Caenorhabditis elegans: one gene and its partner. The protein of the gene in region 2 interacts with the protein of the main gene of each other region in a biochemical or structural test. Each region holds a gene or a part of one and is shown on either strand. Other genes may lie near its edges. The genes, in order: unc-96 and unc-98.

The links.
Region 1: the proteins of unc-98 (region 2) and unc-96 interact in far-western blotting, tested with the Caenorhabditis elegans proteins (one study listed by BioGRID).

The regions. Positions count from the first base shown.
Region 1 is NC_003284.9:618,129-623,057, forward strand, and holds the start of unc-96 (CRE-UNC-96 protein), read right to left. Parts: upstream 3,163-4,929; 5' UTR 3,151-3,162; coding exon 3,052-3,150; intron 2,346-3,051; coding exon 2,197-2,345; intron 1-2,196.
Region 2 is NC_003284.9:7,569,656-7,575,640, forward strand, and holds unc-98 (Zinc finger protein unc-98), read right to left. Parts: upstream 3,935-5,985; 5' UTR 3,920-3,934; coding exon 3,896-3,919; intron 3,848-3,895; coding exon 3,770-3,847; intron 3,680-3,769; coding exon 3,569-3,679; intron 3,339-3,568; coding exon 3,270-3,338; intron 2,722-3,269; coding exon of another isoform or gene 2,702-2,721; intron 2,481-2,701; coding exon 2,346-2,480; intron 2,304-2,345; coding exon 2,121-2,303; intron 1,318-2,120; coding exon 985-1,317; 3' UTR 719-984; downstream 1-718. Other genes in the region: Apyrase apy-1, read right to left, coding at 1-65; pcyt-1 (Putative choline-phosphate cytidylyltransferase), read left to right, coding at 2,702-2,721. UniProt on the Caenorhabditis elegans protein: Probable transcription factor required for muscle structure.

The DNA of each region.
Region 1 (4,929 bases), 7.0 Mb from region 2:
AAAATAATAAATTATTAAGTAATAAGTTCAGACTACGTCCGAATCTCACTAAACTGAAAACCGTAAGAACAATTGTCACGCAAAAACAAAGGCTTTTTAAATGTTCACGTGGTGTCAGGATGTTCTTTCACGGTTTGATCTACAAAAATGCGAAAATTTTTTCGCCCAAAAAATGTGACGTCAGCACATTCTTTACCATGCGAAATCAGTTGAGAACCTTGCGTCTCAACTCCCGCATTTTTTTGTAGATCTATGTAGATCAAACCAAAATGAGATACTCTGACACCACGTGAATGCTGGAATAGCGCAGATAAGAAGCGAAAAAAACAGTTCTGCTTCTGAGTTTTTCATTTTTAAATTTCTGAAACGAGCAGTTTTTTTAAGTTTCGCATGTGATTGTTTAACTTAAACTAATTTTCTTAGGCTTGTTTTTTTACTTAAAACCAACTATGTGTTTAAAGCATCACATGAAAACATTATTTTGTACATTATTTCAAACATTTGGGGAAAAACAATATTTTTCAAATTATTAATGACTCTATCAAACATTGAAAAGTAATACATACATGATGAGGCGCAATTATAGAAATACATTTCTATGAGCTTAACGATTTCTTTAAAAACTATTAGAAAGGTTACCTTAATAATTTGCTTGTTTTCACTTTTTTTTTTGTATATTTCAGCAGTTTACAGTTAAATTTATCAGCGGTCTTTTAGACTTTGGAGCCTCCCACGTTATTTTTTTCGAATGAATGCACGTGCGTTCATAACAATTGGTTAGAATTGCATTTTTCTAAAAAATCTAAGATTTTTTCTATCATTTTTAACACTAGAAAGTTTATTCCGAGTCATGCCATTTACGAGAAAAAATCATCTTGTTCCGTTGTGAATGAAACCAATAAACATCTACTTCCAAAATTTTCCATTGATATACACAAATTATAATAGAATTTTCTCTAAAAAAATGTCACAGACTGAAACACTACATACAAGAAAATTTTTAAAAATTCCCAATTTGGCAACCGATTTTTTTCAAATTTTACAAGCTCTATAATTAGTCCTTGAACACCTAATATAATTGTCATGAGTAAATGTTTTACTATCAGTAATATCAAGCTGTGGAAGTTCAATAAATTGTATTTAGCAGTTACAGTCACTTATAGTGTTCTTGGAATAGTCCAAATTAAGTTTTCAGACATATCCTCCCTGTATCCAGTAGGTACATGACAGCCCGGAGAAAAATTAATTTAAAGTCAACACTGCTAACATGTTCAAAAACATGTGAAAAGAAGGACTAATGATTATGGTAGAAGTGGGAACATTTTTATTGCGATAGTTACGATCATCATTATGGTGTTACCACTGCGTAGAAAAGTTGGTCAAAAATACAAGATTCTAACGGTATTTTTCAATCATCTTTGCTTCACGGCAAAAATCACAGTTGAGGTAACTGAGAAGTGGAAATCTTTAATATTTTTATAAAGGTTAAAATTTAAAAAAAAAGAATAAACTAGGAATCAAAAAACAATACTTATAATTTTCACTGTCAACAATTTGCTACTGTAGCCTGAAGACGCATCTAGTTTTTTTAGCTCTCGTCACGATTTCAGTGATAATTCTTGCTAAAGGTGTCAAATTACACCGATTTGTTCTTTTGATAAAAAAATAAACATTTAAAATATGATTACTTTGGATTTTGACAAGTCCTAGTTGATCTCTTTTTCACCGCGTTCAAAACCAAAACATTAACAAATCTAATCAAACTCTGCGGGTCATTGTGTAATGTGTTGTTTCCGCCGTACACATATCTCACTCAGTTACACATCTGGCAGAAATCTTGCTCTCGGTCATTTTTGATAACTCTTACAATCTTGTTTTTGTTCTTGTTAGGTACTTTTTGAGTTACATTTGCTAACATAGTATTATAGGTTGCAGAACCATAATTCAGCGAAAATTTATTTAAAAGTAGTTGAAAATTCACACGCAGATGAAATTCACTTCAAGCAATAGATAAAAGTAGCTAAAACCATTTTTCAAGATAAATATGCATTAATAAAACCAAATTGATGAGTGAAAGCCTCAGCCGAAGCTTAAACCCGTGGAGGAAAAAACAATCAAAATATCTTTTATACACGGTATCGTAAACTTTTGAAATATAATGGGAGCTCACTACTTGAAAGAAAAAAGTTCACTAACCTCTCTGACGTCAGCCCGTAATCTGGACTTGGGCACGTTCTATCCAACAAATCTACGGCAACTGGAGCAACATTTGGGCTCAAAGAAGATTTGAGGTTGAGCAGAGATAACCCCTCTTCTATTAATGCTGATGAGGTTCCGGAAATTTTCTGGAAAATGGAGAGTATTCGGATTTATGCAATTACTAGAATTTCTAATTCTGTCATAAACTAAAGCGTGAAGATTTACCAATTTCAAATTAATTTTTGAGAGTTGCATCCAATATAATTTTTGTTGACGTTATTAGTCTTTTTTTTTTACAAAACTGCATAAACAGTTTTTTTTAAATCTCGTACTGCGAATTAATCAATTGATATCCTAATCTATCCAGATCCCAAACTACTTGTTTGTTTTAAGAAACATTGAGTATATTTAATAAGATGAGCGTTTTGTGATCATAGTCTACATTTTTTGTCTATTTTAATCCTCTATATTTTTTTCGGCATCACAGAAAAATTGTCTAGACATACACTACATTCTATATTATGCTCTTGTAAAATGTGATCAAAGATTCTCAGTTCATATGAAAGGGAGGTATTGACTTTTGAAAAACTATTTTCCAGTTCATACTTTTTTGTATTCCCTTAGACTTTAAATCAAAGTATTTGACATTCAAAAATCCCAACTGAAGAGAAACAATTTCAAAATTTTCAACTATCTTCAAAAATAGGCTAAAGCTTTTCGAAAAATGTACGGACTGGGTGCAAACCGATAAAATGTAAAATGCTGCCTAAACTCTCAAAAAACTCAAAACTTTCAAAGCATATACATATATATATATATTTCTCGTTTTTCACACCACCCTTCTCTTCTTACAGGAATCTCATTTTCCAATCCGCTGTCTGATCTCACAACTGATCGAACTTTGGGTTTCTCCGGATCCAGGTTGAGATTCACATCTTCAGTTTCACTCATTATCCAAGTCTTCTGGAAAGTAACAGCTCAGGGATGAGTAGAAAAAGATGAAAAAGTTGGCAAGAATGTATGAGACAGAAACTTTTCTGTTTGAGAAATTGAGTGGTGCTCAGGGGATTTGCTCACCGCCTTTTTGATTGGAATGTCAATGTCGCGCGAGAGTTTCAAGTTTTTTTCGGGATACAGGTAATGTTTTTATAGGGGTATCAGTGTTTTTGGCCCACAATATAAAAAACAAAAGTATTTCGCAATAGTTGGTTGGAGGCTTTTTCAATTAGAATTTGATGCATGTTTTCAAATATATACATGTAAGTTTTGAAGATTTAGAGAAATTAAACATACTTAGCAGAGCAAAATAAAAAAGTTAACAAAATCGAAAAATAAATTAATTAAAGCACCAACAAAAAAAAACAAAAATCCGAATACAAAAGATAAAAGAGTGGGGTGAATGTTGAGAGGTCTTCCCGTGAATAGAGGAGAAAAGTGTGCGTGCTCAGAGAGCCGGGAACGACTGCGCCTCTCTGATCACTGCACTCTCGCCCCCCCCCTCCCGACTACCTCCCGTCTTCTTGACGATCTCAACACAAAACCTGTGTAAAGCCAACGGGCGTATCTCCTCTCTTTCTCTCTTCCTTGTCCCTCGGCAAAAGAGCACTAGCTGCGATTCGATGATTTTTCTCAAACCCCCCCCCCCCCCCCCCCCCACAAATCGGGCCGGCGTCCTCGTGTTTCAGTTTGTGAAAAATGGTGCTGCCATCGGGTTACTGATTTTTTCAAGTTAAAGTATTGCAGTTTGTTTTACAATTATATGAATCTAATCAGGCTTGATCAGGCCGCTGAAATTTGAAACGGTAATTTCAGACAAATAATAGCCGTATGGGGGATGTGAAAATCTTCTAGAACAACTGCAGAATCTCAGTTGCGGCTACATGCTTGGGAGATAGCTTAACCTGAAATCTAAAAGGGCTTCTAAAATGTTCTAGCTGATGAAAAAAATCATTTACTGTACTTCAATTCTGTAGACTGAATTCGTTTTACTTTTTTCCCAGTTTTTAGATTAAGATAACTCCTAAGATTTATTGTCAATAACGTTTCTTGAAACAAACAAAACTAATTTTCTCTTGAAAAAAGGGAAAAAGGGTGACATTTAACGCCAGGTAGCTCTGAAAATTTGAATTATCAAAAAAGTAAACCTGAATCAGAATTAATCGAAAGATAATCAAAGCAACAGTGGCTCGTACAAAAAATGGCAATATAAAAGCAGTGAGGAAAAGACCGTCATTTCCGGAATCAAAGATAACTCTCAAAATTTCTGGAAAAAAATCTGTGTTGACTGAAATACTTATGATAAAGTTGATCAACAATTTTAGATTTTTCTTAATCATTCAAACTTCTTGGAAAATTGCCAAAGTGCTTTCGAAACCAGGAAAAAAAACACAAAATCAACATTATACTTGAAAAAACCACTATAGCTTAATTTTTGATTTTAATCTGGCGCGCAACTAAATTTTTGCCAGATCCCTCGAAAGATCAATAATTTGAAAGCATCAACACTTTCTCCCGTCAGATTTATTCTGGACTCGCCTTCATTTTTCACTTCAAATGGTTTCTTACGTAGTCACTTAAAAGCTCCCTATAATCTTGACTTGATTTTTGTTCCCAGTTTGATGAAATAAAAACATTTTATTAATTACTAATACGAAGAACATGATATAACTTTTTGGACATTTTGTTAGTTTTTGAATACAAGACTATTATTATTTAATTTTCAGGTTTTTC
Region 2 (5,985 bases):
GCAATAGCGGTCACAAACCCGAAAAGAAGGAAGTTGAAAAAGTTTGAGTTACTTTCTTGTGTCATACCTAAAAATTATTTTTGTGAGTCTTAATTATAAGCATTAATTGAAAGTAAGAGATTTGAGAAAATATAAGTAGAATAAAAAAATAAAAAATGGTGTAGTTTTCCGAGAGTACTTCACGGCCGCGTGGCCTAGTTTTTTCAATGGGGACTCGATATTAATAACGAACACAAGTGCGTGTCCCAAATTGCATTTGCTTTATTGAGTGAGATATCGTGGCTGTGAAGTGGCAAAATATTTCGAGAACCGTTAATTAAACAATTTTATACATTTTTAAATAATGAATTCAAAATGATGCAAAATAAATTTAAAAAAACGTACAACTTCTAGAACAACGAACAATTGAGCTGTCTCGCTATCATCATCTTATCATTTTTGCTATCAAAAAATCGGTTGTGGGTTGTCGTAACACATCACAGAAGAAAGATTGATTGTGAGAGAGCCGGACAACATTTGTGCTAGCGGTCAATGTCTTTCCCGCTTAACATGGTCCCAATTGTACGATTGACCAGGAATCGATATTTCAGGGAAAGAAGAAAATACCAACAAGACATGACGAGAACAGTATTTATAGAGTGTGTCTGAGTGCGTTGGAAACACACGATTTTTGTGCTTTGTAGTCAATTGTAGTTTATGTTGAACACAAAACGAGTTTCTGCTGCTGACCGTCTTTATAACGAGCGTCTTAAAAATGTGAGGAAAAGACAAAATGACAAGAAATGAGAAAACGATAACACTAAAGAAAAACGTTGATTTAGTTGAAAGAAAGAAATATGAGTTATATGAAAGAACCATATCGAATATACATTTTGAAGGACAAATATTGTTAAAGCTAGCCGATGTTGAAATATATATATATTTTACAAGATCTGGATAGATTTAAATACTAAATTAGAAAAATTTTAAATACTCAGGGGTTGCTCAGAATCGCGGAGTCACGTATCCGCTTGTTCTTGGGAATAAATAGTAGCTTCTGGAATCAGTGTACCCAACTCCTTCCCTTCCCATCATATAACGAGATGCTCGAGGATTGAAGTACTTCTCTCCACGATGACTGTACATGTGATATGCAAGACCACGACTGTCAGAGTAGCTTTTCGAACAATATTCACAAATGTATGGTTTTGAACGAACGTCGTTGTACACTCGGAGTGGATGCTTCGGCTCGTATCCTTCAGTAACGAAAGCTGGCTGTGGAAGATCTTGCTCGGAGACCGGTAGGACTCGCTTCTTGCTTACTTTTATTGTGGTTGTCTGAAGTATTTCAAATTATATTGGTAATCTTCATTCTTCTCACAAATGTATTCCTTGTTAAAGTAAAAAAACGGTTTCGGCTTTTTTTCCGTGTGATTTTTAACAAAACCAAACGAACGAAATTTGAAATACTACTTCTCAAAAATTACTTAAAAACTTGTTTATGGGGGTTCAAAATTTTGAAAAGGCAATACCCAAATTTCAGTCAAAAACTCGAGTTGTTTCAATTTTTCCCAGTCACAAAGACTTAGGTAGCAAATTGTGGTAATTTTTGGTCCCTAATTGCTTGAAACGTATCTTCATTAACAAAACAACGTAAGGTAAACGACCAAAACATGTTTTTAAATTTGGAACTTTCTTCGGTTTCATAACTTCTGTTTCATAACGTTTTCTTTTTTTTGCACTGAAATTCCATCTGTTTAACAGTTGTGATGCAAGAAGTAAGTGCAGTCGTATCAAATTGCACCCTCTCACAGGCTATCAGCAATTTTTTTTTGTTGAGAAAAATATTTTTTTTACGTCAGAAAGCCAAGACACACAAAGTTTTTGTTCACAATTTTCTCACATCAAGGACTATGAAAACCAAATACAAAATTGAAAAGCGAATGGCTGGATGAAAAGGTTTTGATAGATTTTGAGTCGAAAGAACTGAAGAATAAAAAATCAAACATTAAAACAGCCATAGCTAGATTCTGTTGATTTTTTTCCGAGAAGTTCGTAATTCAGATTTTGTTTCAAAAAGCTCTACTGATTAGTAAAATCTAGTAAATTTATTATTTCTCAGATTTCTCAATTAGACAAACCTCTGGAGCACCTATCAATTCGAGTGGATCGTCCGTGTGCTTGTGATATAACATTTCCGTGTAAGAAAAGAACGTCCTTCCGCATTCACACTTGTACCCGTCAATTTCTGAGTGCTGAGCGGCATGATATTCCAGTTGGCAAGCAAATTCAAATGAGTCTCCGCATTTTCCACAGACATATGGCTGAAACAAAGAGTTTCTATAAGTAATCCAGCGAATGAAAACCTGTGAAACGTCATGTATTCTCTCGTGTGCACGGAGAGTGTTCATGAAGTTGAATGTGAGTCCGCAGAAACGACACTTGTAGAATACAAATCCGTTGTCATCTTTTTGCACACTAGTTCCGTCCTGACGCACTTCCTGCAATAATCACTTTTCATCGACTAAAAGAGTCTCTTTTTCATTTAACGCCTTCTTCATTCCCTCCCTTCTTCAGTTTTTCCTTCATCTTATATTTTTCTTCCTTTTATTCCCATTTCCCTCATTCTTTCACATTCAAGCTGTCAATGCTCACATCTATATTCCGCACATTTGGTTCGTGTGCTGAAAGTGAGCGCATCAACTTCAACAACAACAGCAAAATGTTTATTCACAAACAAGAGTAAGTCAACAATACCCATGTGAATTAGCTTGGGAAAGGAGAAGAATGGAAATGGATAGGTTGAAGGAAAAAAGCATAAGGAGCAGCAAGAAATTATATTCCAAGTTAGTATTTGAAAATGATAAGAGAAAAATAAAATCACAAACAACAAAAATCATAATTTGTTTTTTTTTCTTCTTAGCATCCTGCTGAGCTTTCTCTTCCAACAAATGTACAGGACATGGTTACTTCGACAATGGGCTAAATTTAAATTAAATTAGAACTGAGTTTGTCTTTGTGTATTCTGGCAAATAAGTTTTTACTAGTATGCTAATTATAAAATTAGAAAATAAAACCTTTTCTAAACTATCTAAAATTCAGCAAAAAATTAACAATTTCTCTCAAACAACTCAAAAAATATAGTTTCATTTTCTCCGGAAATTTTGCCTGTACAAACCTATAGACTACATTCCTAATCAATGTTTTTTTAATTAAAAATTATTCAAAGCACGAACTATTCAACAAAAAATGCACAAAAACACACACTTCATAAAAACAATAAAACAAACCTGTTGATCACTGCCATCCAAAGCACCGCCACTCGATTTTGTTGGAGTTTGAGCACTTGAACTTCCGACCTACAATAATTTACTTGATGCTTTTAAAATCAAATTAGGATGGCGCTGTTTTAAAGTATTTAAGCGTTTTCAGACACTATTCAGATAATTCAACATTTTTTCACTTGTATCCAAGGGTTGAAAAATGTCAGTATGAATCCAATCTTAAAAACATTTAAAAAAATTTGCCTTAAAACCTATCAAACATTTCAATCTCTGAAATTCTTTTTTTTAAATTTTACCAAACTCACATATGCTTCAACTGTTGGGGCAACAACTTTCATGATCTCTTTGGGCTTTTCCTTATTTCCATTTTCTGACGATTCTCCATTGATGCCGAAGGTTTCTAGACCATGAACCATCTGGAAGGTATTTTTTTAATCATTTCGCAATACAGACACCCCCGCGTTTTTCTCCGGTTTTTCCGTCATCTCTCGGTTTCTCTAACTCACTTCATTGTTCTTCACGGACATCTTGGCAAGATCACAGGCATTCATCAACTCTTCGAAGTCATCTCTTTCCTTTCTTGCCTAAAAAATTCAAATTTAAGTAAAGCTCACAGTGATCAAGAACAATACCTCTTTGAAGATGTCGTCATCCATTGTTGTATCTGGATATCAGCGGTTAGTCGTCGGAATGGGGGTGAAAATTGTCAGAGGGTAGAATGCTCGGTGTGGCTAGCTGGGGTGCTCAACACACAGTGTAAACTCAAGAGACTCGTCGCGATCGAAAAATGCGAGAAATCGCCTCTGCAATCTCTGGATCTGATGTGCTCTTTTGAAATGCTCCCGCTCTCTCATTTCCTTTCCTCGTTGGATGTTTTGCGGGACACTTCTGTGTCTGCAGTCTCCCTCAATCTTGCTCAACTGTCTTAAAGAAGAAAGAGATCTTGACGACACAAGTAAAAAAAGCGTCTAGATTGCAGTGCTCGACATAACTTCAAAGCGGAATCATGTTTCTGAAATGAATGGCACAGATGCTAGTGTTTGTGGGTGACATACATTTTGTGTAGTACGTTGAACACGTGCAAATGATTTGGAGATGTGGGTACAAACAAAAGAAAGAGTACTTTTTTTTTGAAATAATAATCGAAAAGGATCAACGAAGTTTATATTTTAGAAATTATTCAATATGAATTGTAAAAATATTAAATTACATACTGTAAAACTATTATTTGAAACTATGCAGGATTATGAAGCTATTGTTTTAAATGTGAAGCATCGGTCAGGGTGATTTTTTGTAATCACTCCTTTATACAGTGATAAATAATCTAAAATAATTTTGCTTTCAAAAAGGTAGTTATCATTCAGTTTTCACAAATCACAATCTTGGAACACGGCAAAAATAGTTTTTTCTACATACAAGTTTCATATTCTAACTATGATTTGATCATTTGTATATACATATATTGTAGACATTTAAAAAAATGCAGAATTGCTCTAATATTTTTCATAGGTTCAACTTATTCTAGTTGTGGCAATTTACCACAACTTTGAATGAAAATTCTCAAGAATCTAAACGGTTATGTGGGACTTTTATGACTTTTAATTGGAATAAACATTTTACTGGAGCTGCACCACCTTCTGGATTGATCGGATCTTTCTTTCATGCATCACAAGCGGGCTAAAAGTGCACCAATGTTGAAATTTTACACAACAAAAATGCATTTAATTGTTAAATTTTTAACAAGTATAAAGTAACCAGACCCTTTTTCATTAAAAAACAGTTTTCCGTATTTCCTCTATTAGTCTTGCAGCCTCTATTAGTCTTGCAGTCTCTAATAGTCTTGCATCCCTCTTTTTTCAAGACCAGTAGTACTTTGCGGAAACGTCAGCAAATTTGATATTTTTGAGAAAATAACCTAGAAAATGATCAAATAATTTATGAAATATTGCAAAAGTATATATTTTTATCGTTCAGCAAGCTATCGAGTTAAGTTTTCAACAAAAAATAGGTCATTTTTTCAAAGATGGGGCATTCGAAAACTAGTCTTGCAGCCTCTAATAGTCTTGCAACCCTACAGACCAATGGAAAATTAGTCTTGCATGCAAGACTAATAGAAGAAATACGGTATATGAAACAGTCTCACTACTCGGGCTAAATATAAAGTTTTAAAAGAGAACAAGCGACTCACTACGAAATTTGTTTTTTTTTTCCAGCACATTTTGAGTCAATACGTTTATACCACGAACCAATAGCCCTACTTTATAAAATCCTCTCTTGTCAGAAAAGCCGGACCTCCTAGATTTCCATACTTACTGTGTACTTGTGGCCTCACAAAAACTTCTTACATAAGTATCTTCCCTTATGGAACAGTAAAACTACATTATTACCGGTTAAACGTTCCCGCCCCGCCTTCGCAGCGTTTATTAGCTTTTTACCCCTTGATAAATTTCAAGGGGTAAAAAGCTAATAAACGAATAAATAAAAATTTAAAAAAACTGGTACATTTTAAAACGTTTTTATAGGATCAAATTATTGGTTCTTTTTTTAATACTACATTCGTTTTTAGTGTCAAATATTAATTTCATTTTGTGGGCAGAGGAACATTTTGAATATGAATTTAGAACAACGCACCATGTCTATATTTCCGGTTTCTTCGCGTTTATTATCAGAGAATTACCTGAAATCCATCACACTCGATATAAAATGCCTTAATTCATAACTT